3 linked regions of the Arabidopsis thaliana genome follow. The protein of the gene in region 3 interacts with the protein of the main gene of each other region in a pairwise test. Each region holds a gene or a part of one and is shown on either strand. Other genes may lie near its edges.

What was found.
Region 1: the proteins of AT2G31040 (region 3) and AT3G50910 interact in a two-hybrid assay, tested with the Arabidopsis thaliana proteins (one large-scale study listed by BioGRID).
Region 2: the proteins of AT2G31040 (region 3) and AT2G46550 interact in a two-hybrid assay, tested with the Arabidopsis thaliana proteins (one large-scale study listed by BioGRID).

The regions. Positions count from the first base shown.
Region 1 is NC_003074.8:18,913,449-18,924,889, forward strand, and holds AT3G50910 (netrin receptor DCC), read left to right. Parts: upstream 1-5,878; 5' UTR 5,879-6,338; intron 6,339-6,736; 5' UTR 6,737-6,740; coding exon 6,741-7,506; intron 7,507-7,881; coding exon 7,882-8,304; intron 8,305-8,396; coding exon 8,397-8,551; 3' UTR 8,552-8,853; downstream 8,854-11,441. Other genes in the region: AT3G50880 (DNA glycosylase superfamily protein), read left to right, coding at 61-882; HB28 (homeobox protein 28), read left to right, coding at 2,972-3,721; AT3G50900 (uncharacterized protein), read left to right, coding at 4,674-5,018; LPPepsilon1 (Phosphatidic acid phosphatase (PAP2) family protein), read right to left, coding at 8,955-9,182, 9,285-9,358, 9,444-9,669, 9,774-10,085.
Region 2 is NC_003071.7:19,107,556-19,118,159, forward strand, and holds AT2G46550 (uncharacterized protein), read right to left. Parts: upstream 6,652-10,604; 5' UTR 6,437-6,651; intron 5,918-6,436; 5' UTR 5,903-5,917; coding exon 4,709-5,902; 3' UTR 4,406-4,708; downstream 1-4,405. Other genes in the region: ARF11 (auxin response factor 11), read left to right, coding at 58-245, 339-474; AT2G46535 (uncharacterized protein), read left to right, coding at 2,143-2,598, 2,694-2,765; AT2G46540 (fiber), read right to left, coding at 3,132-3,167, 3,603-3,685, 4,048-4,126; AT2G46560 (transducin family protein / WD-40 repeat family protein), read right to left, coding at 8,015-8,125, 8,264-8,442, 8,533-8,754, 8,855-8,988, 9,149-9,372, 9,481-9,654, 9,731-10,018, 10,358-10,414 and 1 more.
Region 3 is NC_003071.7:13,207,949-13,218,777, forward strand, and holds AT2G31040 (ATP synthase protein I-like protein), read right to left. Parts: upstream 3,241-10,829; 5' UTR 3,065-3,240; coding exon 2,756-3,064; intron 2,678-2,755; coding exon 2,628-2,677; intron 2,532-2,627; coding exon 2,435-2,531; intron 2,356-2,434; coding exon 2,260-2,355; intron 2,103-2,259; coding exon 2,022-2,102; intron 1,855-2,021; coding exon 1,763-1,854; intron 1,678-1,762; coding exon 1,585-1,677; intron 1,480-1,584; coding exon 1,411-1,479; intron 1,312-1,410; coding exon 1,146-1,311; 3' UTR 971-1,145; coding exon of another isoform or gene 719-970; 3' UTR 676-718; downstream 1-675. Other genes in the region: AT2G31035 (oxysterol-binding-like protein), read left to right, coding at 719-970; AT2G31050 (Cupredoxin superfamily protein), read left to right, coding at 4,202-4,804; EMB2785 (elongation factor family protein), read right to left, coding at 5,548-5,631, 5,761-5,811, 5,916-5,999, 6,074-6,124, 6,259-6,345, 6,469-6,518, 6,828-6,901, 7,003-7,182 and 10 more. UniProt on the Arabidopsis thaliana protein: Facilitates the assembly of the membrane proton channel of the chloroplastic F-type ATPase. Specifically required for the efficient assembly and integration of the CF(0) subunit c into the chloroplastic ATPase complex in the thylakoid membrane.

The sequences.
Region 1 (11,441 bases), on a different chromosome or scaffold from region 3:
GCGAGTGATAAAATTTCGAATTTCTGCAATTACTAACAATTAACAAACTCGGCCGTCGTCATGTCTCTCCGTAAAACCCTAACCGCCGTGAATCAATCTTCGTTACCGCCGGATTCTTTAATCTCCGCCGGTAATCTCACTGTTTCAGAGGTCTCTGGTTCATCTTCTAGAATCAGATTTCGTCCTCGTAAAATCAGGAAAGTTTCGTCAGATCCGTCGCCGAGGATCATTATCACCGCGTCTCCTCCTCTATCAACAAAATCGACTGTTGATATCGCTCTACGTCACTTACAAAGCTCCGATGAACTTCTCGGAGCATTAATCACAACGCACAACGATCCTCCACTGTTCGACTCAAGTAATACTCCGTTTCTCTCCTTAGCGAGATCAATCCTATACCAACAACTCGCGACGAAAGCAGCGAAATGTATCTACGATCGATTCATCTCTCTATTCAACGGTGGAGAAGCAGGTGTTGTTCCTGAATCTGTGATCTCACTCTCCGCCGTTGATCTTCGTAAGATCGGTGTCTCCGGGAGAAAAGCTAGTTACCTCCACGATCTAGCTGATAAATACAACAACGGTGTGCTTTCTGATGAATTGATTCTGAAAATGAGTGATGAAGAGTTGATTGATAGGTTAACTTTGGTTAAAGGAATTGGAGTGTGGACTGTTCATATGTTTATGATCTTCTCGTTGCATAGACCTGATGTGTTGCCTGTGGGAGATCTTGGTGTGAGGAAAGGTGTGAAAGATCTTTATGGTTTGAAAAATCTTCCAGGTCCATTGCAAATGGAGCAGCTTTGTGAGAAATGGCGTCCTTATAGGTCTGTTGGTTCATGGTACATGTGGAGACTAATCGAGTCTCGTAAGACCAAATAGCACCTGCCTGGTAATAGTTTAACAATACCTCTCTTTTTAGGTTGATAGTAACTAGAATTGTTATGTTACATAGACAAACTTGATTCTTTATAGAATATTTCATGCTTGACTTGGAAATTTGAACAGTTACATGATTAGAAAGGATAGGAGTATAACATTTGTTTGACATTAAGTTCTCTGGATTGGTTTTTGTTTGGAATGCTTTCTAGAAGTAGAAATCTCCCAAATCTTAAAACAAGAATCATAAAGTATTTATCTTTTCTTGATGTATCTTGTTTATCTAGCAATAGTATCAATCCTAGTAAGTAACATGACGATACTTTATCACTGAAGCTTCTATATCTGGTAGTTATCGTTGAAGTGTGATTTGTTGCAATCAATCATTTCAGTAATCGGGCAGTTAATATGATCCTGTGACGAAGAAGCTTTTCCATGCCCATCACTTCCTTTCCAAGTTTCACTTGCTGGTAATCTGAGTTATTTTGTGTCTGTAAATTATGGAGCACGTAAGAAAAATCCTTCTTGTATTTTAACTGTATTCCACGGATTATATTTCTGTGACTGTTGTAAACATGTATCATGTATGGGGTTTCATTTGACTTGGATATTGAGAAGCATGGCTTATTTACCAAGTCTTTTGTTTCTGTCTTGTACTGGGCTTGGCCCAATGTCTCATCCGGCCCAATTGATCAAGTGGTAGATAGCTTGGATCTGATTTTGCCAAGACAGATGTGAAATCAACCCTTGCTTTCTTTTAACTTAAAATAGTTATAGGAAGAAATTACTCTTATTCAGAGAGACGAATTTAAAAGTCTAAGATGTCACGCGTAACATTCAAACCTCTTAATAAAAGTTTAGTATATGGCTAATCTATTCCCGTTGATTGATTTCAATATTTGGTAAGAAATGAAGATGATCATAAAAGTGCTACACAGCTGTGGGAAACAAAGAATCTGAAAAATGAGACATGAGGCATGTGGAGATAAATAAAAGTGCAGGTTTTGTTGTGCTTATGTGGACCAGCTTTTCATTCTTTCACACTTTTAATTCTTCAACCCTCCCCACCAGAAAAATAATTTATCATGTCTTCTCTTTCAAGACTATCATTAAACTCTGATTGTTAAAGCTTATTTCATTAAACAACTCTATTAGAAACCCTAATTCCATTTGTATGGGAAATTGAAGCTATAGTAGTTAACTTCTAACTCCATGCAAACCATAAATACCTCTCATAATGATAGTAAGAGTATTATTTTCTCATTGATTATCACAATAAATCTGATCAAAGAATTTGTGGAGATCGATAAATAAAGATACTCCTACTATTATTATGACAGCATAAAGGATTGACAAACATTGTTGTTCGAAGTTTTAATCTATTTTATGATATGTTAGAACTTAAAATCATAGTCCTAAAAATTTATAACTAACAATACATAAGACATAATTTTAACTTACATTAGAAAAAAGTTTTGAAAACTAACCCATTTAACTAATTTAAAATAATCCCATAACTTTCCTCTCATTTATCTCTCTCTCTCCACTCCTCAAGTCTGTACTTAGTAGGTAATAGTTTGACTAAGCTAGGTTTTTTTGCAGACATACATTAATTAGTAACACCATCAATAATCATCATAAAAGAAAATAGAGAGAAAGAGAGATAAATGCAATAATGGGAGATGGACCAAAGGTGCAGGTGGTGAAAGATAACAAACATATGACAATGTCTCGAAATTAAGAGGCACCACCACACATACACACACACTCTCTCTCTCTAGTAGGTTTGTGTTTTTAAAATCAATATTTTTGTTGGATTCTCATGTGAAATAAAACTTGATGGGTGATAGGAAACAAACACACATACGTCATCATCATCCTTAATTTCTATTTCTCCTTCTTCTTCATCATCAATATCAATCTCATCTTCCACTACTCCTCCCCTCTAACAATAAGCAGCATCTCTATAATCCCTAAGGTGAGTCCAAAAGTCGTCTATTAATTATTAAAGGAGAGATTTTTGCATGCATTATTGAATGATTTATAAGTATTAATATTTAACAAAGTTTTGTTGTTTTGGGTCAGATTCACAATGGAGCTTGGAGGAAAATGCAATGCAATTACAACCACAACAATGATCTCAACAGAAGTAAAGCCACATACGGATCCGGAACCAGAAGCCAAACCCGAATCAGATCCATCCATGGCTTTATTCCCGATCAAGAAAGAAAACCAAAAACCAAAGACACGTGTCGACCAAGGAGCTAAGTACCGGGAATGTCAGAAGAACCACGCGGCCTCAACCGGAGGACACGTGGTGGACGGATGCTGCGAGTTCATGGCCGGCGGAGAAGAAGGTACACTCGGTGCTTTAAAATGCGCCGCCTGTAACTGTCACCGGAGCTTCCACCGGAAAGAAGTGTACGGACACAGGAACAGTAAACAAGATCATCAGCTGATGATAACTCCGGCGTTTTACAGCAGTAACAGCTCGTACAAGCCACGTGTAATGCATCCAACGGGTGAGATTGGACGGAGGACTTCATCTTCAAGCGAGGATATGAAGAAGATTCTGAGTCATCGTAACCAAAACGTTGATGGGAAAAGTTTGATGATGATGATGATGAGGAAGAAGAAGAGAGTGAGGACAAAGATCAATGAAGAACAAAAGGAGAAGATGAAGGAATTTGCAGAGAGATTAGGGTGGAGGATGCAGAAGAAAGATGAAGAAGAGATTGATAAGTTTTGTAGGATGGTGAATCTGAGGAGACAAGTTTTTAAGGTTTGGATGCATAATAACAAGCAAGCAATGAAGAGAAACAATAGTAACATTAGTGAATAGTTTGATGATCTGATAAAAGTGAAATAAATTTTTACAATCCTGTTTTGCTTTTATATATAATTTTTGCCCTTCAAATTATTCAAAATCTTGAGTATAAATCTGTGGAATCTTGTATGTTTTGATTGTTTTATATTGTATCTGGGATTATTTTTTTCTTTTACTTAATTTGTGGTTGAACAAAGTGATAAAATTGGACCTTCAAATAAAGAGGGAAAAACGTGTGTAATTAATAATTTAATGCACAAGTATGGTTAGTACAATTAGCTGGAATAGCTCAGTTGGTTAGAGCGTGTGGCTGTTAACCACAAGGTCGGAGGTTCGACCCCTCCTTCTAGCGTTTTTTATCCTTCAAATGGCTGTTTTAAAATTCTGATTCATACTTTTTTTTTTCTGTCTGAATAGAAAGTTGATTTTGTTTGAAAAATCTGATTCATAATCATGTACATGCATGATAACAGTCTGATGTTAAACCATCGTAAGGAGCAGATTTAGCATTCTAGAATAGATCTATTCTGCTTACTTTTACCCCAAATTTAGATTTTTCCATGATTAATATATTGTTAGATATGGATCAGACAAAGAAGATTAGTCTAAACTCTAAAGCCATTGTCCATTTGATTTGTCTAAAAGATGTAGACGTAATAGTCAGCATAAACACACATTTGACCGGCGATTTAATAGGGACGAACAAGAAGATGTATACATCATGTGGGTGTAACACTAACACATGCTTTATTAATTACATATACAAAAATTTAATTTAGTTAGTTGGAGATCTCATACACACAACAATAATTAAAATAAAAGTCAAACAGATCTACTATTTTCCTTTTCATATCACAAAGCAAACTTGTCCTACTACTTAAATCAACACCATCACGAAGAAAGTTTCAAGAACTCACCTAAAACACAAACAAAGGAACTCCACTTTTTTTCCACACCACATCACACCATGTTTAGAGCCATGAGCACAAGGAAAATCCATGGTGGCTACGAAAAGCTCGGCGATGAAGAAGCGAGACTGAAGAGGGTCTCTAGCGTTCCGGCTAGTGTTTATGGTCATTCAAGAAACCCGGTTCAAGAAGTGAAGAAGACACCGACAGCGAAACCAACCGGTGGTTCTGTTCATCCTTTGTTTAGTTTCTTTGACGTTCATTTTCAAAGAAAGAAGAAGAATACGGCGAAGAAGAAGAGTTTAGCAACGGCGAAACCAGAGTTTGCTAGGTATATGGAGTATGTGAGAGAAGGAGGTGTGTGGGATCCGAGTTCTAACGCACCAGTGATTCATTACAGATAGATTCGTCAAGGAAAATGAATAAAAGATTTGTATATCGTCTTTTTTTTCCAAATATATAATCTATGAGAAAGCCAAACAATCCTTGATTCGATTCGAAAAGATGCATCAAACAATGTATTAGTCATTTTTGCACGAATTGATGAGTGTTTTGTACACTCTCATGGAGATTCCGTGAAGAATAAGATAAGTTCAAGGGTCTTGACTTTAATATATGATCAAAAAGTTGATTTTGGTTTTCTTATTTAAAAGGATATGTTATATGAACTGAATCAATTCGTAGTAGTTGCTAATATAGAAGCGGTCCCAGAGCTGATATCTTTGAATCATGTTCTATATTCTTCATTTCCCACCTTAGCTTTTATTTTAAGAATTCAAAATCAAGTGAGAACAAATTCAAAATAAAGTGAAGAAAAATTCAAAATTTCCAGTAACAGATGCATATTTGATTTTCCCTTTTCATCAAAAAATAAAGTTACGAATAAAATATTATTATATTAAGGAGAAAAAAATAGATATGATCATAGTCTCATATTTCTTGTGAAGACCAGTTTTTTTTTAAAACTATATTGTTAACCAAGTTTGAATACTCGCTCTTTATTAAAAGCGTGTTCACATGGGTCACGTAACACGTTTAAGAAAAACCTGGCTCTAAAAATATTATCAAAATCCCAGATTTGACGAAGACAAGAAAATAAAAAAAGACTTTTAAAATCGTTTTCAAAATGGGCTTTACAGATTCGTGAACAGACAAAAATTGGGCCATGGGTTAATTTGCTTTTTAGGCCACGTCACCGTTTTAGTGACGTTTCTGAATATTCGAGATGTGACCCCACTTAAACAAGATCCCTTGGACGACGTCGTTTCGACCACTTCACGAAACCCTACCGTCGATTTATTTACACAAAGTACCCCTTCATTGTATAGCGCCGTCCTTTGCTGTAACTCTTACCGTCAAAGGTTATATCCGTCTTTCCAAATGTCTCCCAAAGACACGTTTTAAAAAAATAAAAATAAAACGAAGAAAATCAGAAAATGGGTCGCCAAGAATAGAGGAAGAAGCAAAGAAGAAGAAAAAAAAAAAACAGAGCGTTTCAAATATTTGCGGAGATACAAAGCTGAGAAGAGATAAAAAAAGCCTTGGAGAAGAGGTTTTCTTCTTCTTCTTCTTCTTCTTCTTCTTCTTCCCTCCTCTCCTCTTAACGATGTCGTATCACGCTTCTTCTTATCTTCTCCGCCGTCGTCTTACTTCCGTATAACCTCGATCTCTCACCGTTGAATCTTCCTCAGCTTTCTTCCGTGGAGATCTCCTTCGCGCTCGAGGTAAATCCTTCTCTTACGCCTCCGGATTTGATGTTTTCACCTTTCTCTGTTTGTTGTTTCGGTGAAATTTCTGGAAATTTTCGTTATGGTAGGTCTGAATCTCGAGAGATTCGATTCATTTTCATCGGCTTGACCTATTGTTAGCTTCTAGATTATCAGATTTGTGATTTGATTTTGCTAGCTTCTTTTTTTCGTGCGAGAATTGAATCAAGTTTTGTTTAGGTATACCGATGATTGTGGTTTGAGCACGCGGTGTTTGCTTTGTACCTTCCCAATAGCTAATTCTCACTTATGCGAATGACCATTGTTGGTTGATTTCTGATTCGATTGAAATGAAGAAACGCTCTTTGTGGTTTCGGTTTTTTTTTATTACTAATTTGATACTTGAATGATTGCAGAGCCATGCCTACTTTTTCTGCTATTGCTTTGGATAGAATGCTAGAGCCAGGGGCTTCCACGTCTGTCGAGAGTGTTCCAAGCACAACTAATTTGTTTTATTCAAAGCCACCGATATCAAAACTGGAGAAAGGTAAAGGTAAATTACCTAATGAGAGGACAGTTACTCGTCCTCTGATGTCACCTGCTCTCTACGCCACACCTGATGCGATTCCGCTTCCTAATTCGCCATCGTCTTTCCCACCGTCGCCTTATATCATCAACCACAAATCACGTGGACCTCCACGTCTTCTTAAAAGCTCTTCTGAGGCTAATGTTGTGTCTTCTTCCCACCAGAAGACGCTGGAAGAGGAAACTATTACTGCTGAAACAGATGTAAAGGTTTCCCCTCGGAGGAGGTCCACTTCCTTCTCGTTTCCTATCACTGAGGTTACTGAAGATGATTATTCCAATGGAGTTCATGCTCGTACGGTTGGAAACTATAATTTTGATGGTATTGTTGATGGTCCTGTTGGAAATTGGAGTCCGCTTGATGGGAAAAGTGGGAATGGGAAGTCAGAGTTGGATAACGCTGCTAATGGTTTAGAACGGGTAAATGGTCTGTCTGAGCCAGTCCCTATTAAAACAGACAAGGAGAGTGAGTCAGAAGATTTCTATGACCCAGGTGAATCAGCAAGCTTCACAAGTAACACAGACGTAGAGGGTGATGCTGGGGACGAAAGTTCACAAAGACTTGCCACACCTGTGGGAGAGTTTTATGATGCTTGGGATGGTACTTATCTAAATCTTATTCTCTTACTAATCATTTCCTTATGAGATGGCTGTCAATGCTTATGATCTTAACGTTCCCAGGATAATATGATTAGTCACATTTTAGAGTCCCTTCTTTTTAACCTTTGAGCATTTGAGGGTATTCTTTCTTTAATATGCAGTAGTAGCGCCTTGTCATGCTTTGGAATTTTGTTTTCTTCTGGATATATTGAAATTTGAAAGTGATGAGTTATCTTTCCAAATCATGATGATTAATGCATTATTCATTTCCCTTGATGAGTATCTGCAAAGTATCCTGAAAGTTAAGCTTTAACTCGACTCTATGATTCGGAACTATTTAGTATTTTGTAATCCATCTAATTTCTTGGTTTTTCAGAACTATCAACCGACAGTGGAATGCAGAGTTCAGTTAATAACATCGAATCTGAATTAAGTGAGATAAGGCTGAGTTTACTAATGGAAATCGAGAAGAGAAAACAGACAGAGGAGGCTTTGGAGCAGATGCAAATTCACTGGCAGAGACTCCGTGAGCAGATGGCTCAGGTGGGTCTGTTCGTTCCTATTGATCCTACCGCCTCCACCAACAACATGAATCTATCAGAAGAACTACGCTGTCAACTCGAGATTGCGAGGTTTGTCTCTGACTCTTTAGGCAGAGGTATGGCAAAGGCCGAGGTAGAGATGGAGATGGAATCTATGCTCGAAACTAAGAACTTTGAAATCACACGGTTGTCTGACCGTCTACACTACTACGAGGCCGTGAACAGAGAGATGTCTCAACGAAACCAAGAAGCCATAGGTAGTAGAAAATCACTCTCATTCACCAAATTTATCCATTGTCATTTTCTATCGTATAATAAAAATCTAATCTCACAACTCTGTTGATACCAGAGGTGGCACGACGAGAGAGGCAGAAGAGAAAGAAGAGGCAGAGATGGATTTGGGGATCAATTGCAGCAACCATTACTCTAGGAAGCGCGGCATTGGCATGGTCTTACATTCCTGCAGCCAAACCATCATCTGAAGTATCTCTTAAGGATGAATGATTAAGTAAGTCTCTTGTATACGTAGTGGGTTTGATGCAAGCAAGAGAAATAAAGATACAGGACGTTTAGCGTACGCCTTGTGAATAGAAATATATACATATTTGGTTATTGTTTTAACTGTTCTCAAGAGGATGTATAGCTCCGAGTAGCTGCAAACACATTTTTCTTGCGGTGGCATACTGATGAGTGGCAGCCACAGTCACTAATATTTGGTTCGGTTTGGTTCTTATTAACATTCAATGTTAGCTCTAGTGTAAGGTGCTTGCCTTGCTTACATCTTAAAGAAACCTTATTTTTTAAAATCTTGATTTTAACAAACGGGCTCTGAATCCTTCATTTCGATATTTTGAAAAGAATTTGAGGGATAACAATTTTAAGCTTTATAAGTAAAGCTTGGTATTGCTTATCTCTCGTCTTTGAACCAGTTAAGTACAACGTACGCTGCGAAAGCTAGCGCAAATGTAGCTGCAAACAGAAATACAGATATTTGCACTAATAGAGATGCCTCGAAGGCTTCACGAAGAAGCGAATTCCACATTGTGTACCATAAGATGCAGAAAAGAGAACCAACAATGGCACCCACCACCACTTGACTGCTTGTGTGCAGTTTTTGAGAAACCCTTAACCGTATCTGTGATAGTGCAGAGAGTGTGAGATCAATGGCAACTAAATGATTTCATATATGAATGAAAAGCTTGAATCAATTAGGTGAAACTTGTTATAACAGACTTACAAAGTATGAACCCAATGCGAGGATTAAGCCGCTAAGAAACAAAGACACACCGTTGGTTCCAAGCCATTCCATAACTGCAGAAAACACGACTCGAGTGAATCCGTTGTAAACAGTTCCACGATAGCGAACGATGAGTAGTGAACAGCTTAAGCTGCTTACCGGATAAAACAGCAAAGACAGATATGAAAGAAATGGATTGAGCATGAGAAGATGGCATCCCGGGATCAGATCGCAATGTTGTAGTAGGCCTCTCTTGGTTAAGTATACGTTTAAGAACTACAGAGAGAGCAGAATTCGAAATCGATCCAATGACTGCCCACAAGGCTGCACCATCATGTCGCAAAAGAATGATTGAACCAAATAGAACAGACACAACCCATTTGCTCTGTCATCATTAATTAAAACCGGTCAGAAAGAAACACACATTGATACTGAAGAAACATTTCATCGAACACATTGCGTGCATGAATGAGATTTCCATTAACTAACCAGACGATTAACAATGGCTTCAATCCCACCGCCGGTGACCAAGTCTTTCCGTATCTCCGATGAGTTGTTGATGAAAGATTCTTGCTCCAACGCTCCAAATTGTTCGTTACCGTCATTGCTCCTGCTTCCGACTCTGCTAGAGAATCTTTTAACGGTCATAGATCCAAAGCTAGAGACAAACAAAGGAGACCCACGAGAGATAATCGAACTATAGCTCGAAAGTCTCGATCTTTTAAGGTACGAGGAAGAGTCAAAGTAGAAATTGCAGGTGGGACAGTGAAGAAGAAGAAGAAGAGAAGACGACGCTGCCATTTCCAAAAGGAAGATAAAAGTCAACGTAGTATCAAATCCATCGCTAAAGGAAGTAAAATTCGTAAGACGAAGAAGGGAAATATGCAAATCGAAGAAATCAATGTCTGGTTGAGAACAAGAACCTGAGAGAGAGCTTTCTTCTTCAAATCAATCTTCAAAGTTTTTTTGCTCGAAAACGAGTTTGTTATTTGTTGTTTACCTTGACGCATTTTATAATATCGTGACCACTCATATTCTTCCACGTGGCATGTAGAATAAACGGGTAAACCAATATTGAAGCAAATTAATGGGCTTTTGTTTCCTCAGCTGAGGCCCATATATTAATTAAAACCATTCTTAGTTTGATGTAGCATCAGGTGATCTGGAGTGGCTTCATGAGATATATGTCTATGGGCTTAGTTTTGTAGCTCTTTTCATTTAGCTTTTGTACAAATCCTCATTAGTTTGTGCCCAAAAAAAAAAAAAAAAAAAAAAGTACAAATCCTCATTAGTTTAAAAGGCATATGGTTGCCGAGAGGATTTTTTGTTTTGTTTTATGCTTCTCTTGTAAAATGTTGACATGAAAAGGTGAAGAAATATTTACCTGATGTTATAGAAAAGTTGGAATATTGTTGGAATATCACATATTTTTAAAAACTTATTTCATATTTTTTGTATCATTGTGTATATTACAATTAACACATTTGATTAGTTTGTTTAATTAATCTTTTTCATTAAAACATAATTAACGAAAATTATATTAATCTACATTATTAAAAAGAAAAAAAAGTTATCAAGAGGAACTTTTCGGTTTCTTTTCATGTTATTATTTCACAACAAATTTACATATTACCGCTAAGTTATAATGTTTCACGGTCTTTACGGATGAGTTATAATGTTTTACGGAGGAATTAAATATTGCTTCAATAATAGATCAACGGTGACAATGTCGTGTACACGTCGATTTATTCGGAAGAATATTTAAATGTTTCACTTTCAGCGTTTTAGAACAATGTTGCTTTATGTGGGCATACATATATAAATTAAATATGGAGGTCTAAATTCTTTGTTACCGTTTTGTGTAAAGAATCATATCAATTTTTTAAGCTAAACTAGATCTATCGGAGTTTTCTTTTTTTATATACAATTTGGGAGATCTATTAGAGTTATGTGTAAAATATTCATATTTATCCTCGATTGTGGCGATAAATACAGATATACGGTCGCAAGGTATGGAAACTACCGTGGTCACATCAAAGATTTGCATTAGCCAAGTTTTTTTTGGTTCTTTCTCGTAATTCCAAAAAATAAAAAATACTTTAGGACATGGAAAGAAAGAAAGAACGACAAAAAAAAAAAAAAAAACTTTAGAACATG
Region 2 (10,604 bases), 5.9 Mb from region 3:
TACAAATTTTTGTTATTTCTCAAATTCACCACTTTGTTTCTGTTTGTTCCTTTTAAGGTGCAAATGCAAGGAACAGCGGTTGGACGCGCGGTTGATTTAACATTGTTGAGATCATACGATGAACTAATAAAAGAGCTAGAGAAAATGTTTGAGATTGAAGGAGAACTTAGTCCTAAAGACAAATGGGCTATCGTGTTTACAGACGATGAAGGAGATAGGATGCTTGTAGGAGATGATCCATGGAAGTAAGTTTCTCTCAATCTCTTTCTTCAGCTTAAAGCTCTCTCTCGAGTTCTTAACAATTGTGTTTTGTTGACAAACTCTCTTGAATGTTGCAGTGAGTTCTGTAAAATGGCAAAGAAGTTATTCATATATCCGAGTGATGAGGTCAAGAAAATGAGGTCGAAGTCGTTGTTGGGTGATAAAGGTACGATCGTAAATCTTGAATCAGATCAGAGGACAGTTCACGTTTAACTATCAAGTTGTTGATTTCTTACTTTCTTGGAGACTCTCTCAAGTCTCACCAAGTCCGAGAGTTAGGTGGTTTTTTTTTTTTTGGTTTTTTTTTTGGCGTTAGGTGGGTTTGTTATTTACTTGTTTAACATAAAGACTATAAAATATACAGTTATTATATACGAGTATATCGTATTAGGTTTCAAACGACGTCGTTTATGTAAAGTGTTTGCTTTTCCGACGTGGCTTTCGTCGTCATGACTAATGAATGATGTGTTAGCAATAACTTAAAAAAGGTCATATTTTTCTAATGTTAAGATTTTGTGTGGGCCTAATAAGATCGACGATTAACATGGTAGTAGTAGGCCCAAATACTGAGGCCATAACATTTTTACTGTATAAAATTTCTTCTAACCTTCTTATTTATAGTCAGTTGACTAATTAACCCAATAAAAGACCTATAAAAGAAAAAGTGTCAATGCAATACACATGTTTAATAAAGTTGATCAAATAATATTAGTATGATAATATACTTGTTAAATGAATAATTAATATGTAAGAAGACAAATGGAGTTAACCTGCTCCCTTTTTATTTTGTTTTGTCACAACTCACAAAAGAACCTGCTCCCTTAATCTTGTGTTTCGCGTAACAAAAGACCCACCTCCCTTTTTTTGATTATTATTATGGACGTCTTATTGAACATTTTGACTTTTTTATTATTGCAAAAACCCTCACCTAAGACCACTTTCATCATATTTTAATAATTTTTCCTAAACTAAATTAATCATCATTATAATCTTAAGACTTGCGAGAACACACTAAGCTTGAGAAGAAATCATAAGCTCGGTGTCGGTGGGAATGTTTTACTGATCAAACTACATTTTGGTTTTGGGTCCACTTTGAGCTTTCTTTAAAATCGTTAATCATAATAAAGTCATTTGTCGGCAGATAATTTTCACGTCAGCTTCATAATTCCTTAATTTTAATTCGTATAATTTGATGAGATCACAAGAATTTCTTCAATGTAGTAGAGTATATCAGTTGCATGAATACAAAATGATTTAATGTTAATCACATACATACCATTGATTAGAAAAAAAAATGGTTAAGAAGACCAAATAGAAAAAGAGATGGTTCAAATAACAGTCTCTCACGCGCCTCTTTTCTCAAGTTTACAAAGCGCAAAATCCTTCAGCCATTTTAAGTTCACGTGCCTCACGTGGTTTAGGTGCGCGTGGCTATGTCACGTGTTGCTTCTGCTTGTACTACTATTACATTACCTCTTGAGCAGTTGGGTGATATTTATTTATTTTCACCTCTATAGTAAATAGTGAAGCTTTAAAATGTAAAAATACCATCCCTTATAGAATAACACTGTTTGAACTTTAGTGACAATGTATTCTTTGAATAGTAAGAACAAATAATAACAGTTTAGTTGGTGAATGATTCTATTATTTGGTGACGTGGTCAGTCAAATTTCCTCTAATAACAAAAGAGTATTGACTTTTATGAATGGTTGTCTATCTAGTCAACAGTAAAAAACCACCGTTGGATCATTAATAATCACAAATGATTTGAGATATATTTAATGCATTGTCTTTTTTTTCTTCACTCTCCCACTACCTAAAAAGAAACTGCCTAAGACTAAGCTGAAGAAGAAGAAAGAAAGAAACAGAGAAGACATAAAAATGAGAGGAGACAAGGAAGAAGAGAAGGCGAAGCTTGCACTTGTGTTAGCTGCAAAGTCAAGATCGTTGTTGTACACTTCATCGCCTGCGAGTCCACGTGTGTTTGCTTCTCCGATTCACACTCTTGCCTCTGTTCCGTTTTGTTGGGAAGACCAACCAGGCAAGCCCAAGCACCCTCTTCGTCCTCTTTCTTACCCCAAGTGTCTTGATTTGCCACCTCGTTTGCTCCTTCCTGGTGAGTTCACGCAAATGCCCTTGCCCGAGAGGAAACATGGGCTCTTGAGGTTCTTGAGGAGGAAAGGGAGAGGGGATGTTGTTGTGAGGGGTAATTATGTCTTTCTGTCGGAGAATCAGAGAGCAGGAGATAATATCAACGAGAACAACATGAAGATCATGAAGTTTAACAGATCAGGGAGTTACCATGGTGGTGGTTCTGTTAAAGGATCTCACTTTTGGGTAAAGTATTTGTGTTTCTCCGCTCCTTCTTCATAACTTCTTCATCTTCCCAAGTCTTGTCTTTCGCTGAAACGGGTTTGGTTGGGGAAATGCAGGGAAGTTTATGCAAGGGATTGAAGCTAGCAATGCCATGGAAGAACAAGAAGATGAGAAGTGGAAGTGTTTAAGCCTGTTTTCAATATGCATTATCTATCTATCTATTGAGGGATCAAGATGATGAAAAAGAGCTATTAAGAGTGTATGTAAGATTAGCAATTTTACTGTAATTTAATATCTGTGTGATATGCATATATAATGTTGTTAAGACTCATGAGCCATGGCAAGAAAAGTTTCAAGCTTTTTTCATTTGTTGTTAAGAAATGAATACATCTGATCAAGTGATGAACAAAAGTGAGTGTACACACATGCCTTTATATTAAGTTTCATAACAAACAAATGAGTCTGGCTTATTCATTGTGAATAGAGAGAGTAAAAGACAAAAAAGGAATAGGGATCATCTGAATGTAAGAAAACAGGGGAAGTCATTGCTTGTTTTAACTCTGTTTCTTCCCTGTGACACCAGCAATCACCTGCAAAAGCAAATTGGATCTGAGTTAATACTTGACGCCTTTGTTTGCCTGTAAAGAGTATATAGGAAAGCGTTGGATAACTAAGCAATGTGATAACTAACTAGTCTCTTTTATGCCCAATCCATTTTTGGCAGTAACAAAATGTGATCATGACACTCGTCCAATGATGAAAAGCATAGATTTTTAAGGCATGGATGAACCAAAGATGGAACTCTCAAATCACAAGAAGACGCAGGAGGAACAAAACATCGAGATGATGTATAGGCTACATCACATAGCAAAAAAAAGAAACGTCCAAACATTCGCCTACACGGATACTAAGAACAACTATCATGCAGAGTTCCCACATCAGAGACATTTCATTAGATAGGAAATAGATGACGATTTTAGCAGCAAAAGGAATTTCCACAGAGATAAATATATTCTAATACATACATCGGTAAGTGGAGGAGCTTTAACTTGTTTGGAAGCCTCGAGAGAGTCTAGAATAGGCCTCACAACCGCAGGCAAAAATAGTCCTACAAGATGAAGAGAATCCATCAGCAAATGTATATTAACACAATTGCCTTTTGCTAATGTTCAAGAAAGACATAATCTTTTGCTACTTATACATGGAGATAATGGAAGACATGGTTCCAAATTAAGCTTAATTTCAACTCCTTAAAATACACTCTCTTTGACAACCCAAAGAAATGACGATTCCGAATAGAGAGATTTGGATCAGGCATTTCTCTATATTCTCAAATTACAATCGAGCAAACTAGCTCTATAGATTCAAAGAGGAATTCCAGAAACTAGATAAATCCCAAAGCAAATCCTTTTCTAAGAAAGAGAATGCGATCGATCGGTGAGGAATTAAGATTGAGATTAGGGTTCATACCAACACCGCCGATTAAGCAAGAAGCAGCCACAACTGGTTCCTGCGCCACGAACATCCTCAATTTCTCCATGACCGGCATTTTCGCACTTTCCGATTTTAATCTCTTCCTCGGATTACGACCAAAGCTCCTCGTCAATGTCTGATTCGATTGATAGTTGCTCCTGAGTAAACCATTTTCTCACCTGAAACGAAATTAAAGATCATCTCCGGTCGGGTCGGGTTACTGGGCCCAAATGTTCGCAATTCGGCCCATTATAATCACCTTTGCCGTAATTAAAAAATATATATACTGTATATCTTTCTCTTTCTCATTCTGCTTCCAGCAGTAAAAAATTACTAAGTATTTTAAATTTTCAAGAAATCGAAGCTCTAGGAACATGAAAGAAAGATCATATACACTGTACAGTAGTTAATATATGCAGATATTACATGAACATGAAAGATACTTACTTACACATTAAAGAAGATAATTTCATATGATTTTTGAAGGAAAAGATCAAACTAGTAAACACAATATTAACAAAATTCTTACAACAATTTACATTCTCTCCTTAACGAAATCCAAAAGCTGATTCGAAGCCAATCTTTTAACTCATTTCAACATCATCAAGCTGTTCAATGAGAAAAAAGATGAAGTTTTGTCTCTTTTCTTCTCTTTAAACTAGAACGATAGCATCTGCATCCATCCAACAGTCCATCCAAGAAGCAAACCAGCACCAACAAGACTCATCCCCAATGCTAAACCAACCGCGTACTTTGCTCCATTCGGTTTACCCCTTTTGCTTCTTCTCTTTCTCCCCTCTTTTCTTGCTTTGCCATTGCTCCAACAAGGGATGGAAACCCCTGGATCGTCGTTGTTCTTATTGTCAATCTCCTTGTTCTTGATTTGGAGGTAAAGTGCTTCTAGCTGAAGCAGTTGTAACCATTGCTTATACCCAAAAAGCTCTGCGGCTTGCTTCAACAATATCTTCACCAAGTGCTCTTTCTCTGCATAAGCTTCTTTAGCCATATTCTCCGCTTCCCTAGCCCGCGTTTGCGAACGCCTCAGTGCTTCTAGAAGCTCGGATTTGCTTAAATCAGACTCAGATGAAGCCTCGGGTCTGTTCTTGCAGCTGCTTCCTTTGCTTGTACCCTTGATGGTTTGGCCAGAGACAGAGTAGTCTCTCAATCCATCAGAATCAAAACCACGTGGACTACCATAATAAGATCGTTTCATCTTCTGCGGTGTTGGTAAATCACAATTCTCAACATAGTCTAGAGATCTTTGTGCAACCAAGGAAGCTAACTCGTCTTTATCCGTAGTTCGCCACCACGGTGCAGCTTTCTCACTCGAGAGAAGATTCCACGGCGAGCTAGGATCAAAAGAGAGCTCACTTAACTTTTTCTCAGAGGACTCATCATACCCAGTTGAACCATAACTCTCCCTTGTCTCCATCAACTCTATAAACTCTTGAAAGCTTTCGGAATTAAAAGACTTTCCTTGTTTCTCTCCAGCTCCCAATTCAGACTTCTTCTCAGATACACCTTGATTGTTAACCTCATCCTCCAATGGCTGCTTCTTATTCACCTGAAACTGATGATGAGGATGACTCCACAGTCTGGTGTTGTGGGGTAACAGATCAGGGAAATTCGGGTTTCGAGGAAGAGGCATGAAACCTGCACAAGATGATTGAGTCCGTGGTTCAACAGAAACTCGAGGAGAAGAACCAGAAACTTCCACTTGCTTAGTTGAAGAAGCAGTTGAGGATGAAGATGATTGGCAATAAGTTAACTTGGGAGCTCTTTTAGCGTCTTCTTGGACAAAGCAACGATTAACTGTTCTTTGCCACACTGCTCTTGCTTCAGCTGCTGCCATTATTTCACCATAACTCTAAAGATAAGACAAGAGACTGAGAATTCAATTCAAGATCAATGTGATTTAGAAATTAGGTAGATTTAGCAAAATCTTATTAACCGTTTTGAATCTATTTATAGGAAAAATAATATGAATCATTTATTTCAAAGGAAGAATCTTTCTGATTGCCGACAGATCCATCACCAAAAAAGCTTATTACAAAACTACTTTTTAGAGAATCTGATATGTTTTGCTTTCCAGGTAAATTGAAGAATTAGTTCCTAATTTTCTTAGAAGCAAACAAAAACCAAAGCCAGATTCTTTGTCAATTTATCAACTTACTAAACAAATCATCATTATTTGCAATTGAAATCAAATTTCATAAAACTTCAACTATAAAATTATCAAACCCAGAAGAACACAAAAAAAAAACATGAAACGCGATTAGACCTAAGAATCAAAACCGGACACAAAAACAACGGATGGTGATCCAAATCATAATTCATCTTAATGAAACCGCAATAATTTGTAAGAATTCGGAAAAAAAGAACTAACCAGAAGGAGAGAGTAACACCAGACGAAACCCAAAAAACGGAAAAATCTATGATTGTTTAGTCAGTCTCGTGAAGAAGATAAGAGTTGTTCTGATTTTTTTTTGTTTTCTGATTGTCAGAGAATTTTTGTTTGCTTTCGATTAAAATCTTTTGAATCATTTTGCAGTTTATTATCGTTTTCTTAGTCTCTGTGTCATTCAGCACGCAAGCTTCCGCAAAACGGCACCGTTTTCTGAGAGGACCCATAGTTATGTTAATGAGTATTTGAGTCCACAGATTTGCCCATAGATTTCACCTGACAGCCGTTCGATTAGATATTAATTACACGTGGCGACAAAAAAGAAGATCTAAAAAAGGCTTCCCTTTCCTTTTTTAACGGATAAGACCTTTTATCTTATCAGTTATCACTATACGATTACGCGCGATGGTAGATTACGTCATAAATGTTTGGTTAAAACATAAAAATCTTGTAGTAATTGCGTCGAATGATTTTGATTTTTAAATGATCGATTAAATTTTAAATTTCAAGTTAGGGTCTACTAATATTTTTTATGACATCGTTTTCATTTAAGTAATAAAGTGGCCAATGGTAAATAGACATGTTGAAAATATAAAATTAGGTTTTTTACATGTCAATTTGGTTTAATGTAGTTCTGAAAGTTAGGTAAAGAGAATGTAAATAGTGGCCTCGTCTAGGAAATTGAATGTTAGGTGAAGCCAAGTGTCTTCAAGTCATTATGGTTAATTGTCTCTCTCCATTATTCTCCAATTGATAGTGTTACATGAGATTTATTTATTACGTGGTTAATAATTATTTAAGCAATCTAAGATATTCTAATAAGATGCTTTATGTGAGCACTAATATATTCAGTCATAATTAACACCATAGTCTATATATATACTATATATACAACTAACTTCTTTAGAATAATTATTAATGAAATGGACCTTTGCCTTAACTTAATAGTTTTAGGAATAATTCTTGGCAAATGGGGTTTTAATCAAACATTTTGATGATTCATATCATTTCGTCTACAAGACTACAACACAAATTATGGAGCAGTTTAATAATCAACCATAAGATAATATTCCACTACGTAATACGATAGTGGCCAGGTTCCTAGCCGTCAATTTTTCATAATCTTATTAAACTATATCGAGCTAATACCAAACCAACACCAAAAAGAAAGAAAAAAAATTACAATAACGAACTAAATCTTGATAATGTTTATTTTCGGTTCTATTGCACTACACTTAACACCAATCTAATTGGAATCAGTCCGATTTAATCTGGTCTAAATCTGATGCAACAAAGTCAACGAAAACTATGTCAAAGATAAATAGATGATATTTCCGAGTATAGATTGAAGTCAAGTCAAAGATAAATTAAAATCTGGATTATGGTCAACTCAAGATTCTACTGCTTCATAATCTTTAATATATTTGTATATACACAAATATTAAACCATATAGAGAAAAAAACTACATCACAAAAAATCACGTATTCAATAAACACACGCAAGGTAGCAATAACTCGTTTTCTCGACTGCAAAACTTTCCCGGAAAATGTATCTTCTTTTTATTTAGCATCGCCATAGGAAGAATCTACGAGGCTGACGAACTTCACCGTGCCATCACCACCACACGTTATAAATCCATTCGGACAAACTTGTATGTCAGTCACCCCAGCCTACACCAAATTCGTAACACATACCCAAATTCGATTACATACACCGACATTACTTTGATTCTGGTTTACTAAGAAACCAAAGCCACTGTGAGAAAATACGATGAAAGGATTATGCTTTAGGTGATTTGGTTCACTAACCCGGATGATTCCACCGTAGCCTCTCGAGTTTGGCTGCAGAAAAGTGTGTCTTTCGTGTAGTTTAGGCCAATGATGAATCAACTTTGCAGCTTTCGCATCCCAAAGTTTTACTTCTCCGTCTTTGCTTCCCGTCAAGAAAAGACTTGTGCGTGGGATTGTCGCTATTTTTGTCACACTCCCTGAAATTTGCATCAATGTCAATCAAATTTCAGGATATTTTTCCGGTAAAATTGGAATATGAAGGTGAAAATAGGCTTTAGGGTGTGCACCTAAGTGAGCCTTTGGTATATACCAAAGCATCCCATTCTTGTTTTGATCTCCATCAGTCGAAGATCCACCGTCAGGGTTCCTTTGCTTCTTCATCTTTCCGGTTGCAATAAACCGGAAATCGTGCAAACCGACATCACCATTTTTGCCACCAGTCACAATCATAGGAGAAATTGAACCACTACCAATGTCATTATCAAATACCGAGATAGAGCGTGCACCACCTTCATAGAAGAAAAGGGACAAAACAAAAAAAAAACTTGTTAAGAGTTGTGATTATGGGAAATGATACTAACACTTCTACAAAAAAAATTATTGGAGGACCTTCATGGCAATTGATAGATGCCTGGGAGGTTGAAGGGGGAGCTAGAGTATCCCACACAACGACATTTGCACCACTTGAGCTATATCCTGAAGCTGCAACAATGGATCCACTCGAACTAATATATCCTACATCTCTGCAACCATAAATAACAGAAACAGAATAGCTGAAGCCAATAGAACAAGAAACAGAGAAATAATGGTAATTTTCATGACTGACAGCAATAATTTAAAACTTATGTGTTTTTAGCATATTAGTGAACAAGAACTTATAGACTCAAGGATCATGAAACGTACGATGCATGGCCATTGAAGCAAAGAGATGATTCAACAGGATGAATATTGCTCCTTCCTCCAACTTCTGATTGCCAAGTGCATACAGTTCCATCCAGTGCAGCGCTAGCAAATCTGTGTCCGAATGGACCGAATTGCACTGCTGATATCGACGCCAAAGCATAAGGAGGGGAAACATTTGCAGCAGGAAGAACACCATAAGTTGCAGTAGCTCTTTCGTTTCCAAACTGTAACATGCAAGGTTTGCATTATAAGATCCACAAGGATAGATAAGAAATGTCATATCATTTACTCCGAACTCCTAAAACAGATGGTGCAAGTGTTTAGGCACAAACCTCCCACAAGTATATGTGAGTGTTGCTTGAGCCAACCAAGAAGAGGGGCATTGTCGGGTGATTAGAGAATGCTCTCGTAATAACACTTTCAACTGTTGGGGGAGGATCAACAAACTCTTCAAATTCTTCTTGAGTTTCCCAACCTAGACCAGAGACTCCTAACCACCGGCGGATCTACGTGAATTTTATTTAATGTTATGAGAAAATATACATTTGGCTTATCAATTTTTTTTTTTTAGCTATGTGTGACCTGGGTAAAAAATGATCCTGGATCCGCTATCGCTCCTAACCCAGAGTAGCCAGGAACTCTGTCAGCTTTCCCAGGCTTGGAAAGAGAAACAACTCCAACAGTGGCCCCACCTAACCCAAGGTGTGCTCCTTTCTTATCCCCAAGACCAACACCGAGTGAAACACATGTTGGAACGGGAGTTGACTCAGAGTTAGCCCAACCATTATGTGGCCAGTCAGCATCTGACCAGATATAGTCTGACTGATTTTGGGAAGAATCACCATCTTCTAGGTTAAAGAAAATTATACCCTGCATGTCACGAATGCACATTTAGGGATGTGTCTATGTCTCCTGCCACATTACCACTAAGCATAATAAAACACTGCAACAACAAAATAACAACAGATTGACATAAACTTGGTCTTCATATGGGACATGCAATATCATCTGAAAATTTTATCTCGAGATACTGATGCAAGAATGCAGGATACAGATAAAAGGTTAATGGATGTTTTCCAGGATGCAGACTCATCTTTGCATATCTAAAGTTTTGGTGCGTAGCATATGGCAAGTTACAAAAACTTATGAATTTCACAGGAAATTAAAGATAGAACAAGTGGTAAAGGCAAATTACGACGATATACTGACCTTGCGGTTGCTAGCTAATGCAGCTTGCCGATGGTTAATGGCGTTGATACAAAGGGCCTGTTATAAAGATTAGAATACTCGATCTCAAAAGATAAGAAAGTTTCAACAATATCAGTGACTTGTTCGTCAATGTAAGAAAAATAGGTACCTCTATAAGCTCCCCGGTCCTCTTATGGATTTCTTTGGGGTTCTGGAACGCAGAGTTTTCATTGGCAGTTACCGCAGCTTTTGGTGAAGAATTTGAAGC
Region 3 (10,829 bases):
CTTGATCAACAAGCATTTTAGTTTCCGATTCCTTAAAGGATTAGGTTTGGTATCTTGTTATATATAGTCGATAGCTTTGTAAAGGCACGGCATTATTTAATTAAATCAAAGAGCATTTCAACTCTTAAATACTTGTTGTGGCTAGAACTTGAGAGTTCTTAACGGAATAAGATAACATAGATTCTTGGACATTCTTAGACTAAACAAAAATATATGTGTTATCTACACCATCTGGTATCATAGCCATAACCTTGATTTTTAAGCTATACATATGTATATACTAATGAGAACAAATAAATGATTGTTGATACAAAAAAATTATATTATATTTTCTTCTGCTTGCGATCTACCATAAAACTCTTAACACTTTTTTTTTTTTTTCTTCTGGTTGCCTAAGGTAAAACATATATCTACTACAACTATAGGAAATTGTGCCTTAACACTATACTGTTGTTGTGGCATTCACTTTCTAAGATAGAGAACTGGAAAACTTGAGTCATGTAAAATGAAGCAATTTCAGGGATTCAACTTTATTGTTCAAATAATAACCAAATCTGGTGGTCCATTTACAGTTTTTTACATGCATACATGTTTCGTGATTTGACCATTAATTATCATTCACATGATTGTTCTCTATATAAACCATCCATCACCCTTATACTCTTTATTATTCCTATCCAAAAAGCAGAGTAATAAACCCAAAGACAATAATAAAGAAATGGAAGCTAGAGTAATTTCTTGCACTACTTTTGGAGACGACAAGGTCGTCAAGATTGCAGTTCTGAATCATCAAGCAGTTGCCAAATATGAAACGGGAGAAAACGAAACGACCGTTGTTGTTTCCGATGATACTTGCTCGGAGAAAGATGTCAAAGAGATTAAGAAGTGTTGTGAGAAGCTCGGTTATGTTTACGAAGGCAAACTCAACGAAGAATACACTCAAACCAACACTGGACCCGGTTTGGTCTAAAAATTTCAAAGTCATTAACTTTCTATGTTTCACTCTTTCTGCATTTGCTTTATATGTTCTAGCTATCTATCTCTTGGTGATTTGCTGGTATGAATGAGTTTATGAGTTATTAGTTTTTATTACATTAACACTTCTGTGTTTAATTACATTTCTTACAACACTGACCTTGACCTTATTAATCACTGGCCTGTGTGTCTGGAGAGATTGATTCGGGTTTTTGAGTAGTAATGGAGATGGCTTCTTCTATAGCTTGAAAGAACGTAGCAATTTTGTAAGTAAAGAACCCAACCAACATTGGTATCAACTCCAAATGCATGAATCCATACTCAGGAACAAGTATTCTGCAATATATGAAGAAGTCACAAGTAAATATGATTGATGTAACCAAGTTGATTTTGGATGAAAGATATATAATGCAAAACGGAGAGAGAGGTGCTTACGCGTTCCATCTATTGAATATCATAACCAACACAACGGGGACTAGTAACCGTGGCTGGTTAGCTGCACCTCTATAAAATCAATTCAGTAAGACCAAAGAACAAAAGAGATAAGTGAGTGAGTGAGTGGTCTCAACATAGATAACTGATAAGAATTTGAAGAGAAACATATAGTACTTGGCAACTCCTCTGGCTCCATCTGCCATGGCATCTACAGAGTTACCAAGCATCCTCATATATGCAAGTGAACCCAACAAGCCAGCACCAAAACTGTAACAAAATATTCAACACAAATTAAGATTGATTTAAAAAGTCCTTAACGAGATTTTGATGTTCATTGCATGAGAAGACAAACCTAAGTGCTATCTCTGGGGTGTATGAGATATAAGCTGAGACTAAACCAACACCACCAATACCGAGTGTGAGAACCTGAATCTTATTTTTCAGCTGCAGAAAACAATCCAAAAGTCAAGAGACTAGGAACTGAATGCTTCAAAAGTAACGGAGTTGCCCATGAAGGTAAAGAGTAGTGCTTATACAAGCTGCCTTTTCATGAGATAGCAATACATGATATTTGTCATACCATGAAAGGATTAGCTAACCAAAGAAGGTACCTTAAAATATTGTTCCCTGTCTTTAGCAGCTTGTACTTCTGGGTCACCACGTGGCCGTCTCAGCTCCCTAAACATCACATCCTGCAGCACACATTAGAAATGAAGGAAGGAATTAAGAACCAAGAAGATCCATTTTTGCCAATTCTGATCAATGTTTACAATGAAAATGACATTTCAATTGGTATAGAATTAATAAATCAAAGCACAAGTGATCCATCAATTGCAAAGATAAACTTACACTGCCACCAGTTGCAGCCTTCGTTGCTCTATCCCATTTCTCTTGCTCACGACGTGTAGGTGCCAGCTTCCATTTAGGAGACACAATAGCCTTACTCTAATGATATTGACAAAAAAGAGTAAACTTCAGAGACATAAAGAAATAGCAATGTGGCTTTGTCAAATTGGCTTCTCACCATTTGCTTTTTAGCTTCTGACTTGGAGGTGTCAAGACGATTTTTCACAACGGATTTAGAAGACGATGCAAGCTCTTTACTTAAATCAACATCCATACTAATTTTCCACAGATAACAACAACAAACAAATCAACCATTAATCAAAATGCAAGAAATAAAAAACTAATTTTTATCAGTTTAAAGGAGAATGAACCTGTCAAGACTCATAACTCTGCTAAAGCTCAGAAACCCAGAAGACTTTTCCTGTAAGCAATCACAAAACCTTAAAGAGATTTAGTGAAACCTTAAAGTTGAGCTAATTTGGGGGGATAAAGATTGAACCTTTGAAGGAGATGGGTCGAGAGAAGAATCATTAGGATCATCAAACAATTTCTTCATTTGATCCATAAAATCTCTGTTCCAGATTAAGTCTGTGGAAGTAATGGGATCTTCTTTTTCACCTCCCCAGTACTTTCGGAGCTTGGTGGTAGTCGGAGGACCACCGTACTCTCCGGGAGCAACTCCGGTGGACCATTTCTCAGGTTTCTTATTGGGTAGAATGATTTTGGTTGGTAGACGAGAATTGGGAGATTGATCTTGAGGAATTGGTGGTGTGGTTGATGTTGCTGAGATGTAACTAAGAATCGCCATGGATGAGTTTTTTGTGGAGCTTATGACGCACCTGATGTCTGATGATGATGAATGATATTGATGATGATGATGCAAAATAAAATAAAAATCTCAGCTTGTGGCAATTTTGGACTTCGTGATATTTTCATTAAATATTCCCACCAAAAAAACAAACATTTCATTAAAAATTTGAGAAAATGTTACAAAAAAGGAAATTCGGAAAAAAAAAGATGCGAAAATGGAATCTTAACTTACAATAATTAAAAAATAAATAAATAAATAAAAATAAATTAATTAATTAATTAAAAGAAGATAATATCTTTTGTATATAAATCCTAATCGTTGTATGTGTGTTAAAGAATACTCCTTCCGTCCCACAAAAATAAATTTTTTAGGAAAAAAATTTGTCCCACAAAAATAATTTTTTATATTTCCAATGTAATTTTTAGAACTGTTTACCTATTTTACCCTTATTAAATAATTAAATAAATGGTAATAATTATTTTTAAATAGTATTAAGAGATTAAAATTGTCATTATATATTATTTTTTAAAGAATGTGAAATTTCTAAAAAATCCATCTTCATGGGACGGAGGGAGTATAAATTAGACCCTAAATATGACTCTAACAATTGGTGAAATAAACAATTGGTAAAAATTAAATATGATATTTTTCTTAAATTTGTATTAATTTTCGAAATAGTTCATTTCTAATATTTTATTACATCGAGAAAGTTTGTGTGTTTTTAAAATTTAATAAGTAATATAATTTTATAAAGATATTAATTACAAAAAAAAACTTCTTATGAGATAATTTTTTAAAAATAATTACAAAATTATTATAATCTCTCAATAAATTAATACCTTTAAGAATTAATAAATTTCTGGATATATTTAACAAAAAGGGAAAAAATGACCTTAACAATTATCACTAGGAATTATCAAAATATAATATATTTTTGATTTAGAAAAACATATAAAATCGTCAAATTCTTAAAGAGAAAAGGGTTACCTTAAACGAGACCTCGGGTCTATATAAACAACGTAGTGCTCTCTCAACTTCTCACCAACACAAACTCAAAACTTTATAATATCTCTTACATAGTTGTTTTCTTCTTTCTTTGCTGCTTAATTCTCTCGTTTCAAACAACAATCGATCATGGCTTTGATCAAAAGCAACGCCTTCTTTACTTCTTTGCTTATTCTTGTAGCACTTTTTGGAATTTCCGTTGGAGGAACCGTTCACAAAGTTGGTGACTCCGACGGATGGACGATTATGAGCGTCAACTACGAGACATGGGCATCTACAATAACTTTTCAAGTTGGAGACTCTTTGGTCTTCAAATACAACAAAGACTTCCACGACGTCACCGAAGTCACTCACAATGATTACGAGATGTGTGAACCGTCCAAACCGCTAGCAAGATACGAGACCGGGTCTGATATCGTCATTCTAACCAAACCGGGACTCCAACACTTCATATGCGGATTTCCTGGTCACTGTGACATGGGACAAAAGCTTCAAATCCATGTATTACCAGCCTCATTGGGACCTGTCGCTGCTCCGGTTCCTGGACCCGTCCGACCACCAAGCTCTTTTTCGTCTCCTTCACAGTCTCCGTTGGCTGAGTCACCGGTTAATCATGCTCCAGTACAGTATCAGATGGGACCATCACCAGCTCCACATAGTGCAGCTTCAAACTCTAATGTTTGGATTGGACTCTGCTTCCTTCCTTTACTTTCTTTGCTCATCTTAGTTTGATATATTTACACACGTTTTGTCTTTTTTCTTTTAGTTTAACTTCTTACGTACGTTTGAGACTTTGGTTTGTAGTTTTTTCTAGAGAATAATACACCCATTATTCAACCTAACAACCCATCCTCTTCTAATCAAAAACCTACTCCTAGTCCTAAGCCTTTAGAGGATCCTCTTGAGGTTCTTCCAGTAGATGATGCAACGATTGCAACACTTCCTTACAATGCGGCCTCAAGTCCTTGTGTCTGGAGTGGCTTAAGCTTGGTCTGGAGTGACATAACCAAACTGGCGACTACTGTGCGGTGGATATTTTCATGATACTCGAACTGAACATTAGTTATTAACTTTTTAAAGTTTCTACTACCATGTTATTTAACATAAATGGAGACACATGCTTTTGATGAGATAAAATTAGAACGACGATTGGAACAAAAGGAATCAGTTATAAATTAAAAATATAACTTGGGTCATGTGGGTCGTTAAATAGACCCCAAGGCCACCAACAAAACTTTCTTTATAACGATGATAAATCCGGTGGTCCACAATGATAATACAGCATCGGGATCGATCTATCTTCTTATTGTTATCAATACAAGAATGCATCTTCTTGCGTATAAGTTACGAATCTAGTATATAATCTGAATGTTTCTCGTACATATTCAATAATTTTCTTTTTCTAGGATTGTGACAAGAACTAAACCAGCTTCCATAAAAATTGTACCAGAGAGTCAAGTGTGGAAGATAACTTTTTAGTCTTTGGCTCGTTTGCTCTGGGATTTACGCTTGTTAACGTCTAGACATCTTTTCCTCAACCGAATCGTCTTTGGTGTCACCTGACCACATTAAACCAATAACAGTACAACATTAAACCAAGAACAGTAAATGCATAGGAAGCCGGAAACAAAATGTTCGTCATGGATAATATGATTAGCTAGATTTGGAATTGGTGATGAACAATGTACCTCTATAAGCTCATCTGAGGCAACGTATCCTATAGCTTCCTCAAGTGTCATCTGAATAGACAAGAATTCAAAAGTTAAACCACAAAGGGCAAGAAAATTTTCTGATCAAGAAAACAGTTTTCTTATGTCATGTTAAAAGAGGAAAGGGTACATACAAGACGAGGTGGAGATAGCTTCACATTTTCGTCTTTCCCAGCAGAGCGAATGTTTGTAAGTTCTTTGGCCTTAACTGGGTTAAGCTGCAGTGCAAGGGCAAGTGAGCTCATGGCATTTCGACAATTTAGTATGAAGAGGAGAAGTCGAACAAACTTACATCAAGATCTGTTTCTCGTGAATGCTCACCGATAATCATACCATCATATGACTGTTAAAGACAGACAAACAAAAGAAAGTGCAGCATTAGCATGGATCAAACGCAGAAAGACCACATCACCTGTTCCAATCAAGAACAGCTAAACCGAGAAAGATATTTCTATGTCATATTTAGATGGTTCTCACATCCAGCCCCGGAGACACAAAGAGAATTCCACGAGCTTCCAAACTCATCAGAGAATGAGCTGTGATAGTACCACGTGCCATGGAAACCTGTTTCATCAAGATAAATAAATAAAAATAAAAATTTGAGACTACATACAAATTTTTATGAAGGAAAAAAGTCAAGGGAAAGCAATCTCTTATTGAAATAAGAGTAACAAGCCATAGACATACCAATACTCCTTTCCTAACATTTCCAAGCGGACCTCGGTACTTTTCATAAGCTGCAAGAACGCGATACACAAACAGCAATCAATTGAAGAAGAATGTAATAAAACGTAAAACCTAAGATGCTTCTAACTACCAGACAGATATGTTTGGATCTATGATGAATCCTCTTGCAAGAAAACTAATGATATCTGAAGCTGAATTTGTGTTTAGCAGATATATGCAAGAAATATTATTTACATAGATGATTCCTTTAGAAGAGAAGTCAACTGAATTGATGCTTATGAAAGAAGAAAACATTGAGAAAATAGATGGATAAATAGCGGACTGGAGTTGCAGTAAATGCAAGTAGAAAAGTTTCATACTTAGGAAAGCACGATGCATGAATCCAGTTCCTCGTGTGTCGCTGCTAAACACACATCTGTACCCAACCAGACCTCTGCAGAACACAAGTATACGTAGGTTATATTTCTTCATGGGGAATGATTCAATGAGCAGCAAGCAAGATTTTCTAAAAGTAATTAAAAATAGTAAGCTAACCTTGAAGGACAAGTTAGTGACAGTCTCGTCCTACCCTCATTTCCAGGGACAGGGCCCATGTCAATAACTTCCGCCCGCCTGTGGGAGAGAGCTTCCATCACTAATCCTACGTGTTCATCATTAATCTCAATAGTCACCTCTTCAATTGGTTCAAGCTTTTGTCCCTTTTCAGTTTTATACCTGAACATAAAGGACAAACGCTCAGAAGTCAGACGAAGAAGTACAACAAAGTTTGTAGAAATAAAGACACTATAAAGGAGTTTTTCTAGGCTAAAAAGTAATCCATAGTCGAACAAACAATAACCAAGTAATGTTTAGTGTAATAGTAACAGCATAGAAATCAGGTAACTTGGTAAAAAATAAAAGAATTCTTCTATTGCTTTATGACACAAACTGGTAAGACCCTTTTCTTCAAAAGCCCACTAAGAACCTCTACAACTACCAACATCTAATAACCTCAACAACTAACTCTGATTATACGACGAATATAGTATGTAGTGTAAACAAAGAGATGTGACTAACATGACTTTAGGTGGTGAGACTGAGAGCTCAAAACCTTCCCGCCTCATATTCTCAATCAAGATACCTGTTAGACACGACAGAAATTAATTTACCTGGCATAGAGAAATAAATACAGTTACGTGTTTTCTGGCGTGTGTCATACTTTATATCCGTCTTTACAGGTGAACAAACACTAAACACAAACTGGAAAAGAACAAACCAAGTTGAAGTTCTCCTCTCCCTTGGACTTCATATGACTCTGACAAGCCTGGAATAACGTTTATGGCAAGATTTGTTTCAGCTTCTGCCATTAACCGGTCCCCGATTCTTCCTCCAGTTAACTGCATGCAGATTAGCAAAGGCCTATCAACATGTGCCAGAACGAGTGGTCTACCACCTAACACAACATATTTCTTCAAATATCGCTAAGGGGGACACATTAACTTTAATGCCAGCAACATATAGGTGAATTAAGATGAAAAAGAAATGCAGTGACCCGAAGGTAAATCTGAGGATGTAAAAGTTTAATGCAGAGTAATGACTAGAGCTATATCTTGTCACTATAATTAAACATACGTGGGTGCCATCCTGACCAGCCAACGGAGAGTCATTGACACCAAACGTCATAGAAATTGTTGGTGGATCTAACTCAACAGTAGGGAGTGCAGTTGTGACCTGAAAGACAATAAAAATGAAGCATTTATTCAAGCGTCTTAATATTCAAATAGGGATCAATGGAAGAAGTTATGTTAAAAGCAGAATTCAATTATATATCTAAGAATAAAACAGGGAAGTAGTCCATTCGGATATTACCTCTGCACTAGCCACCGTGTGACCTATTGATGGAGCTGTCAAACCAGCCATACAGATAATATCACCAGCCCCAGCAGCGTCAATTGAAACTATGGTTGTACCTTTCTTTTTCATTAGCTTCACAACCTATATGAAAGATGTTTATGTCTGCTTAGATGAGAACATCACACTTCGTAAACACGGCTGACCAAGTACAAAGCAATATGCACACAAACCTTTGCTTCTTCTATTTTCTCAGAGCCAGAATCAGTTTTGCGTAGTCCATTGACTCTGTCACCAACACGGACAACTCCAGAAGTTACTCTTCCAGTTAATATTCGTCCGAGATAGAAGTCCTTCTCCATCATTGAAACCTGGAAATCAGAAGAGAGAACGATAGTTAAATATCATTGCTAGGGCTTTAGCAGTTCAGACATTTTATACCCTTAAAATAATAGTTACGTATAAATGAATCTATTCAAATCTTGGCACATTCACTACATAACATGAATACGTTCAAACTAGGAAAGCCGAAGGTCATAAACTGAATATAATCTCATGAAGTGTCCAACCAATGTCTTCCTTTCCCGAGGAAATTAGTTTGACAAAATCACTTGTTCTTTCTTGAAATTTACTGACGGATATAGTTGCTTCTAAACTCACAACAACAAGTCTACTTACTTAACAAACATTCTAAGTTCAACCGATTTTTCTCTGAAGTCTACTGTGGAATGCCAAACAGAAATCAATGGGAACTGTGTTAGTTAACCTCGTCCAAAGTTAAAGAGCACAATGCAAAGATCAGCTACTTGATATTGGACAATCAGAAAAGTGAAAGAAATTGGCCAAGCAAATTTCATTCGCTGGAGTTTTATATTACCAGCATCAGAAATGGCTCATCAAGGTTTGCTTTTGGAGGCTGAACATGTCTTACTACGGCATCAAGCAAATCTGCCATATTCTTCGCATCTACAGGAGGGTCTTTGGTATAGGTAGAAGATGCCCACCCTTCTTTTGCAGAGGCATAAAGCACCGGAAAATCTAGTTGTTCCTCTAAGTAATGGAGAAAGAAGAAATGTTGATTTAGTAATGATTTGAAAATTAATTAGAATACATATATTAAACTTTGATATATTAATCACCTGTAGCACCACAATTTGCAAAAAGATCAAACACCAAACTCTCCACTTCATCACACCTCTCTTCCGTGACTGTAAATAAACGAAGCAAGAAAAAAAAGGATGAGAAACTAAACAAATTAAACAAGACCAACAAGTTTTACTAAGAAAGGGAGTGAATGCAATGCATACCTGAAGGTCGATCTACCTTGTTTAAGAGAAGGATTGGGCGTAGTCCATACTTCAAGGCTTTGGCAAGAACAAACTTAGTCTGTGCAAGAGGGCCTTCTCCAGCATCAACAACTAATATAGCTCCTTCAACCATACCAACGACTCGTTCAACCTATAATTCAAATACACAAAATAGTCACAAAGATAGCACCTATGTTCTACAGTAAGGAGTATCCTAATGTCAACAGACCATGAGTAGGTATTGAGAACTTCTAATTAATTTATCTTTTGTCCACTAATATGCATTTCTACTAAAAACGAGCATGAGAATCAAATAATACGCTAAAAGTAAGATCAGTATCATACCTCACCACCAAAATCTGCGTGACCAGGTGTGTCTACCATGTTAAGTTCGTTGTCCTTCCAAAATATTGATGTCACCTGTCGGAAAATTTGACATAAACTTTAAATGTCGTGTAACGTGGTGATAAATAACAAAATCTCAGGGAATCGGTAAAAGAACACATCAAGTTACAGACATAACAGAACAAACTGAGAAAAAAAAAAGAACAGAACATAAATATGCTTTGATAGAGTCTCAGAATCATTTTCAAACAGAACCATTTTCAAAATTGTGAAGTAACAATTAACTCTAATTCCAATCCAAACATACGAAAGGCGATACCTTTGAAGAAATAGTGATCCCTCGTTCACGCTCAAGATTAATAGAATCCATAGCACGCTCGTGAGGGATATCAGCACCACACTGACGAAGAAGCCTGTCCATAAGTGTTGTCTTCCCGTGATCGACATGAGCTATCACAGCCACGTTTCTTAGTCGATTAGGGTCAAGCGAGCTATTAGGAGCTCCGGCTGCAGCTGTGGAAGCGGTGGCTGCTGAAAAGGAGCGTAAGGAGGAGAGCGAGTATCCGAATTTGGAAGGTGATGAATGAGAAGAGAAGGATCTTCGAGTGGTGTTTGACCAAAGAGATCGAAGCAAAGGCCCCGCCATCTTTGTTCACGCGAAATGGTCTCTGATAGGGTTTTAGATCTAATCTCTGGTGACGATGACCAAAGGGTTTTTGGTCTAAAACTGTTTGGAATTTATTTGATCGTTATTTACAAAATAGGACATTATCACTTGTAGAATCTTATATTTTCCCTATACTTTTCAATTGCTTATATTACTCCCACAGTCCTATTTGATTATACAACCATGGCTTTTATAGTTTTATGTAGAAATTA